Kluyveromyces lactis: one gene and its partner. The protein of the gene in region 1 binds, or shares a complex with, the protein of each later gene. Links are inferred from orthologs where the notes say so. Each region holds a gene or a part of one and is shown on either strand. Other genes may lie near its edges.

Evidence for each region. Proteins that work in one complex are often made in the same cells at the same time.
Region 2: SYO1 (region 1) and RRS1 share a complex: the UniProt entries of both Saccharomyces cerevisiae proteins name them as parts of the hexameric 5S RNP precursor complex. The link is inferred for Kluyveromyces lactis from reciprocal best matches to the Saccharomyces cerevisiae genes SYO1 and RRS1.

The regions. Positions count from the first base shown.
Region 1 is NC_006041.1:442,623-447,582, reverse strand, and holds SYO1 (Syo1p), read left to right. Parts: upstream 1-1,470; coding exon 1,471-3,321; downstream 3,322-4,960. Other genes in the region: ECM19 (Ecm19p), read left to right, coding at 842-1,114; E2 SUMO-conjugating protein UBC9, read right to left, coding at 3,664-4,137; PEX19 (Pex19p), read left to right, coding at 4,482-4,960. UniProt on the Saccharomyces cerevisiae protein: Nuclear import adapter that specifically recruits the two functionally and topologically linked ribosomal proteins RPL5 and RPL11 (encoded by RPL11A and RPL11B).
Region 2 is NC_006038.1:1,138,488-1,142,178, reverse strand, and holds RRS1 (ribosome biogenesis protein RRS1), read left to right. Parts: upstream 1-2,008; coding exon 2,009-2,623; downstream 2,624-3,691. Other genes in the region: FUS2 (Fus2p), read left to right, coding at 1-1,756; KLLA0_B13024g (SWIB/MDM2 domain-containing protein), read left to right, coding at 3,233-3,607. UniProt on the Saccharomyces cerevisiae protein: Required for ribosome biogenesis.

The DNA of each region.
Region 1 (4,960 bases):
GTGTGTTCAAAAGTGTTCAAAAAAAAAAAGCCTTTGATTTAATCCGAAGAAAAAATATCAAAACCTTTAAAATCTGTATGTTTCCAAAATCTGGATATTCTTTCACTTAACTGAAACTGTTCAATATGAAAAGTTTGAAAATTGATGAATTTGGCCAATTTCCCTACAGCCGTGTGGAAACAATATAATGAAAAACAGAAAAATACACTTAAACTAGAACCACAGTCCGCCTGTGTATTTGGTATGCTATGTGTATTTGTCTGCGCTCTATTTTTTCTAAAGTACTAATCTCTTGTCTGATAGTACTCTAACCTCCTATATATGTGCTTGTTACCGTGTTTGCTGTGTGATCTACAAAAGTGAAAGACAACCACAGCTAAAGATTTCGTTAGTGTAGGTGTAGACTGATGTTATGATTTGGGAATGTGTCATAAGATTCATTTATATATGGTTTAAATAGAAAACGCTCAAGACAGACAAAGCAGAAGTAACTAGAAACAAGAAACAGAGAAGTAGGTGTTTTTGGGTTGGATAGGCATCCGCTATGCCCCGAGAACTAGTTTATCCCACACCAGCTTGACCTGGTGATTCACTTCTACGGAAGAATTTATGTCTTTTACTCGCCAATATTTCTTTTTCTCTTTCTTTTTCGATCAAAATACTAAGTTGTATTTTTTAAAGGACATCAAGTTTCTTGAAAGTTAAGCCAGGTTACAGGACAAATTGGTGACACTTGCAACTGCTGATTATTTATTTCGAGACCCCCTTTCTTTTGAGCGAGTGATTAAATAATATATTGAGGAAGGAGGTAAATAGGTGAGCTGTAAGGAAAGTAACGAACATGGTGGGCAGAATTAGAGGTATGGATGTGGTGATATTTTCGGTCATTTGCGCAATCGGTGTATACACCGGTACACGGTTTTTCGAACCTATCGTAATCGATCAGTTGAAGAAGGATGGGGGTTTGAGAACCGATGTCGAAATTCCAAAGTATGATGAAGATGGTAATCCTGTTTTGCCAAAGAGTATGTTACAAATAAGGGAAGAGTTGGATCAGGTACTAGCGGAGCAAAAACTTGCTAGAGAACAAGCCAAGAAAAAGGACCAGGAATGAGAACGGCTGTTCACCGTTGACAATAGATACGTCGAATACCTCCCCGTCATCCTCTTGTAAATATATACTACTATTTTATTCGGATAGCGCATCTTATGCATATACATATATTATTATGAACCACACCTATTTATCACGTGACTTGTTTGTACCTCCGAAGCTTATTTGATTTCTTTTCCAAGCGAGAAGTACAATTTTTCAAAAGCTCATCGCATCAAAAGTGGTCTTTAGGAACTTGCATTAAGGACTGTAGTCATTGAAACGAAGTAAACGTCTGTCAAGGTGCAAATATTCTGAAACTGCACTCATTGAGTAGTTGGTGGAGTTTCTATCCTTACAAATAGCCGAGAAGTAAAATGGGTAAATCAAAAAGAAGATCTAGAGCTTCTAATGCTCGTGCCAATCCATTGTTGAGAAATGCTGCTAAAGATGATCAAATTAGAACTAAGAGAATTCAACCATTGATAGAACAGTTATCCAGCGTGATTCCAAACGATAGATCTATAGCTTTAGGCACGATTATGGTCTTATGTGAAGATCCTCATATGAGATCTCTTTTCCTAAAGGAAAAATTGGTTAATGTTGTTACATCCAAACTATTGACGGATTCCAATACTGATATCGTGGTAGAATCTTACGGTGTTTTAAGAAATCTAGCACTAGAAGAGGGCTATGATTTAGCAACGCATATTTGGAGATTGAATATTTGGGTGAATATTGAGTCCGGTTTGTCGCAAGTTCAACAGTCACTACAATCAATGAAATCTGATGAGTCTAAAGCTAAAAAGGAATCTAAAAGGCTGTTATACGATTTTGCTGAAAATATCTTATCATTATTAGTGGCATTAGTAAACGGATCGGATGCTATACTTGATGACGTCGTCAAGACAGATAAATTGGATAAAGTGTTCGCTGTTATGACTAATATTTTGAGTTACGGTATGGTAATTTCTGATAATACCGTGACTTTGAAAACAACTACACAGTTATTCAACACTGTCTTGGACCTTATTTATGACATATCTAGTGATTCTTCTGAATTCATCGATAAAGTTTCTGCACATGAATTTCTCTCGCCATTTGTCGAGAATATAATTAATTGGGAGTTTGCCAACGATAACGAGTTAACTAAGGTACTAATACAAGGTATCTACTTACAATTCATGGATACAGACATAAGTTATGACATCGCAGCATCAATAATAACCAAGGTACTACAATCCGTAGAACACATTAATTTAGCTGAGGTAAAATCGACTTTATCGAACAAGACCGAGGATTCTGAATTGATGAAAGAAAGTAATGAAGAAATAACAAAAAAGATTAAAGACTACACTAAGAAAAGGACCGAAGCCATGATCAAATTTCAAAGTATAGAAATCAGTCTTGATGTGATCGCTGCAGCTATTGAATTGATCGGTGCTAAATACGAAGAAAGCCATAAACCTCTTAATGGTTCATTATTACCTGTCCTTACTCAAAATGTTCCTTCTGTATTTTCTGCATTATACACTGATTTCACTTCAAGAGTATTGATTGGATGGAACAATCTTCTATGGCTTTACCTATCTGTCGGGATTAGCTTTTTTGAGTTGGGCAATTACTGGGAGCACCTCTGGTCAGCTATGCAGAATGGTTCTGAAGATAAGGATTTCGGTATTAAAATCGGGAAACTAAGTGTAACCTGGGCATTGTTGAAGAATGTTCAAGCCGTTTTTGGCACCTCTGGTTCTGGTGATTTCTTCCGAGTAGTTCAAATAAACAATCAACAGTTCATTGATTCCATAATTAACGTCTTCAACGAGGGAAAAAGTTTGAATCCTGAAGAAGGTGTGGAGTTGCAACAACGTTGTTGCGGTGTACTAGGTACTCTAGCTGGTTTCCAAAACCAAATTGAACTAAACAAAGCCATAGGTGACTTTTTTATCAATACACTTTCAAGCAAGGAAACAAAAGCACCAGTAGTAGTAGATTTTATGAACACATTCTTTGAAATATACTCAGACATGAACTTTGATTACGATGAACCAGTATTTGTAAACTTGAACTATCTTTCGATACTTCAAACACAGGTTTCATTAAATTTGAAGAATGTTTTCAAGTTTGTTGACAAGAACAAAGATCCTCAACTGAAAGAAAGATGTCAGGATTGCTTTTCTACATTGGATAGTTTTATTGCATACAAACAAAATGAACGTAACAAATAAAACAATAAATATATACAGTCTACACCTGATAATAGTAAAATACAAAATAATTGAATAAATCAAGTATTCATTAGCATTATTCTTGATATTAATTTTAAATTTTACACGAGAACTATACACCTACTGGATCGTTCCATCCTATGATATATCTCTATACAGCCATATAACAATGGTCAACACCGTAGAATAAATCGAGCCATAGAATACAGCAAATTTATTTGATTTGCGCTTTACGCTGGGGAAGGCCCAGGGTTTCCCGCAAGTTGATATCTGCCGTCATCTGCGTATTTGCATTTTCTCTGTCAGTAAATGGTTTACTTCCGAAGTTGTATTATGGAGGTATCACTTGGTATACCTAAGAGCTTGTTCTGAGACTTTCCTCTCATATTCCTTAATGTTTTTCGAGAAAGCTCTCCAAGCTGGCTCTTGCGCAGGTGAGTTAGGGTTCGGAGAATCCAAAAGATCCTGTACACCAAGTAAGAGTTGTTTCAAGGTGATAGCAGGTCTCCAGTCCTGATCTTCGTTCAAGATTGATAAGCAAATGGTTCCACTGGGATAAACATTAGGGTGATAAAATCCTGCTGGAAATTTCACTTTAGGAGGTTTTGACGGATAGTCATCAGGATATTCAATGGTCAAAGGATAAAGACCATTTTTCCAGAGAGTGCCGTCTCTTCCAGGGATACCAGCCTCCCATTTCTGCAAGTTCATAGATCCATCTGTCTTTTTAGTTGGTTTGGCAAAGAACCCATAAGGATGATCTTTTCTCCACTTCTTTCTCTCCTCTTGTAACCTCTGTAGACAAAGACTACTCATGACTGTTTATATTATTCGGCCGTTCTGATCGTCGAGTCGCTTTAATATACAGATACCGTAAATATATTAAGGTACGTTGCGCCCTGTTGTAAATAGAGCCTTAACTCAGATTTACCGTTGTTGAATAATTGGAGGATATGATATTCCGTGCGATACGTCTTTTTGTTTGTGATTTTGAAGATGATTTTGATATTGTAGAAAAAGCATCAATAGTGTTTTGAAGAAAAAGTGATATTTTTCAGAATTGACAGTGACTAAAGAAACCTTAACTGAGGTATAATTAATAGTAAGGGCTACGCACCACCAAAATTTCAACGGATAGTAATCAGATACTTCGACAAACGATGTCAGACAACAAAGTTGACGAATTTGATGATTTGGATGACTATTTAGAGGATCCACGCAAACTGGATGAACAGGAAAAACAAGAAACTGTTCCAAATGAGGCAGTTACTAAGGGTGAGCCTGCTACGCAGAGCGATGATCCAGAAGTAGTCGAGATGATGGAAGATTTGCAGAAACAGTTCCAACAATTGATGCAGCAGGAAGGCGGTGATACTGACCAAGAAATGGTTCAGAATTTCGAGACATTGCTAACTGTACTTGGAGATGCATCGAAGGAGAAAGACCATAACAGTGTAAAACACGTTCAGGAGCAATTGAAGAGCGGTACTGGTTTCAAGAATATCATTTCCAACACCCTAGATAGATTGAAAGAAAATTCTACGAAAGTGGATGAAAGTTTGGAGGAAGAGAAGAAAAATCAGAACTCAGACGATATTCTTTCCCAATTGCTAGATCAACTAGTGGAAAACGGCGATGG
Region 2 (3,691 bases), on another chromosome or scaffold:
ATCCGAACAGGAGCCTCAGAGCAAGAAGACCTATTCTCCATTAGATGTTGAAACGTTTAGTCAAAAAATGAACTTGGATTCAGCAAGACCTGACTCGAAGACTTTATCGTTCATCCAGACTCTTCAAAAGCTTTTAGAGTCTGAGCAACAATACTTCGAAATGTTGAGTCTATGTTTATCAACTTACAAGGAAGAAGCATGCCACAACAAGAAATTTAGGAACAAATTGTTGAATAGAGCTTCAAACGATGAGCTATTGTTGTTTGGGAATTTAGATACGATGGCAGAGTTAAGTAAATTATTCTGCAAAAATTTATCAGAATGCTTGAAAGTGACAGATGCTGGTACTCAGAGCAGGATTTGGAAGGAAATTAAAGGGAGTGACAAGTTATGTCAAATTATACTTGATACTGATTTCTCTACGTTGATAAAATCTCATTTACATAGAATCAAGTCCCCATATCATAGCTACTGCATCTGTCATGAGGAAAGGAAACGATTTCTAGACTCGATCAAATTGCAAAACACGGAAACGTTTTACAAGTGGTACGAGTTATGCTTAAAAAAATCACAATTTGAGAAGTTAGAAGACCTCTTGGAGTTGCCATTGGAGAGGCTAGGCCAATGGGGGTCATTGTTCGAGAACTTATGTTTATTTGGTGACAATTTGCTATCACCAGAACGGTCTGTTCAGATGAATGCGATATCAAAAGAATACATTAGTTATCTAAGGGATCTAAACGATGAACTAAATAATTCCGGACGTGCAAAGGAAAGCATTTTAGGAGAAGAAAATGCGGTGACTCAAGAAAAGGAGAATGACAACATTTCTTCAAAATCTGGATCCCGTGGAGGTTCACAAATTTCCAAATCATCTAGTTTTTATTCAGATATCCCATCATTTACAAGAGTAGAAGAAGAAGTACCACAAGGAGAACCAACAGGCGCGGTCCTCCACAATTCACATTTGAATAGCATCGAAGAAAAAGAAGAATCAAAGTTCAACTCATCGAATTCACTGAAGGACTGCATCAAAGAGTTCAACAACATATATGCCAACCTCCAAAAATGGGATAAAGCTCTGTGCAAGTTGGAATTAGCTAAAGTTTTGGATAGAACTCTGACTATCGCAATCACATGGAAAAATCTAATAGAGTTCGAACCGCCTAATGAAATGTTTCACTCTGGTGATAATGAAAGAACAATATATGGAACATATGTCGAGAAAATCGATAAACAACGTCAACAAGTGATGATCTTACAACTCCAAGATCTCCGCAGGAAAGTTATTAAACCTTTGCAACACCTACTACAACGATTTGCTACCGTGAAGCAAAAGCTGGCAGACAGAAATTCACTGAAGAAAGAGTACATGGCATATCTGCGACAACGCGACACTGAAACCCACGACGCCAAAAAACAAATCCTCGCAAATAGCTTCCAAGATTTACAACATCAACTAGCGGAGTCTTTGCCCATATTCAACGAGTATGCCAGAGAAGCAATCACACTACTCGTGTCTCAGTACACCTTACTGATGATGGAGTACATGCAAATCATATCTGGCGGAGATCAGTTCCTCAACAAAGAATTGGAACTAGTCAATTCGGGACAGCGAGACCTGGGGGATAATTTTGACATTCTCCAGCTGTTCTGCTCTTCTAGGTACTATACGAGGCATGCAATAAGAGAGAACTGGACCTACCACGGTGATCCAAGAGCCAGTAAAGTTGTGAGAAGGTTATTTGAGTTGTGAAATAGATATACATGTTACCCGCACTTTTATTTCTTTTCTGCAATTTTTCACTTAAGAAAAATGCCAAAAAGCTTTACAACTGAGAGATGCCCGATGAGATGAGGTAAAGAAGCGAGAGGTTTGTCTGCTCTACTGTTTGGATACTTCTATATACATTATCTGATTTAAGTCGCCTTGTGTATAAAAGTTCCCTGTTTGATATTACACTCAGCTACTTCAGTTTACGACACACGGAGTATAGAAACCACAAGAATGTCTACAACAAAGTACAGCGAACGCCCAGTAACGGTTGAAAAGGCTATTCCAGTCACATACGATTTGGGTAACCTAGCAGTGTTTGACACAAACGTGTTGGATAGGAACGATTTTGATTCATCCAATGCTGCTCGTGAAAGTAACATAAAAGATTTGACCCGTGATAACGTGCAGTTGTTGATCAACCAGATTCTTTCTCTTCCTATCAGAGCTACCACAGAATCTGCAGGTGGATCCAGTGGACAATCCTCATCTATGACTTTAGTACAGTTACCAGAGCCAACAACAGAGCTACCAAGAGAAAAACCACTACCTAAGCCTAAGGCACCAACTAAATGGGAACAATTTGCTGCCAAGAAGGGTATCAAGCCAAAGGAAAGATCCGGGAAGATGATTTACGACGAGGCAGCTGGTGAATGGGTTCCAAAATGGGGTTACAAAGGTTCCAACAAAGAACTTGACGACCAATGGTTGGTCGAGGTGGACGACAAGGTCCAGGGTACCGAAGACGAGTTGATTGACCCAAGAACTTTGAACAGAGCCGAAAGAAAGAGATTGATAAAGAAGAACCAGTTGCAACAGAAAAGAAACTTGAAGAACCAAGTGAAATAAACGTTACATACTATATAACTGCATTACACACCTTACACTAGGTTACATAAACTGTATAATAGACCAACTTACTCTTTCTCGTATTGACCATTTCACTGCCGTTATCAGGTTCAAAGCCCTCCTACAGCCGGTATTTTTGCGTATACAAAATTTCAACATTATACTTTAAACAAAGTCAGAGCCTCAAAGAATGAGAGAATGAATGGGAATATTATTTGCACAGGGTGCCGGCAGATCACCAGGATCGGAAATGAGTGATCTCAAGAGATATGTTCCTATGATAGATGTACGTTTCCCCCTTTCTTTTTTATCAAGCGAATCGTTTTCGAGCAAGATACTAACTACTTCAAACTATCACATTGATGTGAATATCCATACCAGGCCATCTTAAGCGTGTCAAACCCAGAGGAAGTAAGTGCCAAGAGAATACGGAAAGCGTTACAGGAGTTATTTTCGGTAGATTTGAATTCTCACAAGCATGATTTGAAAGAACTGATCATATCACGGTTCAATCGATTACAAGATTTACAAAGTAAAACCCTAAAACATGAAGAACTGGTGGATTTGGATTCAAAGCTTGCAGTGAAGCTGCATGACGACGAAGTTGCCATGTTAAAACGCCATCGGAGTGGGAAAAAAGAGAAGAAACCTAAAAAGAAGAAGAAGCGGAAGGTGGCTAACGATAATCCGAACAGCATACACTTGAAGAAAGTAGGATTGAGTCCCGAATTACAAGAATTCTTAAAAGTGGAAGAGATGCCCAGAACACAAGTCGTTAAATCTGTTTGGGACTACATTAAGGAGCATGACCTTCAGAACCCGGAGGACCGAAGGGAAATCATATGTGATGATGCCATGAAACCCATTTTTGGTGAGAAGATGACCATGTTCACGTTGAATAAAATACTCTCGAAGCATTTATTCAACCTTGCAAAATCAGAAAAAGACGAAATCACTGAACAGCATAGCGACTTAGAGCCTTGACATTAACAATATATATATAATGCTAAATAGCTCCCGCCATATCTTATTGTATCATTATCGACACCACGCTTATTTTACTCGTCT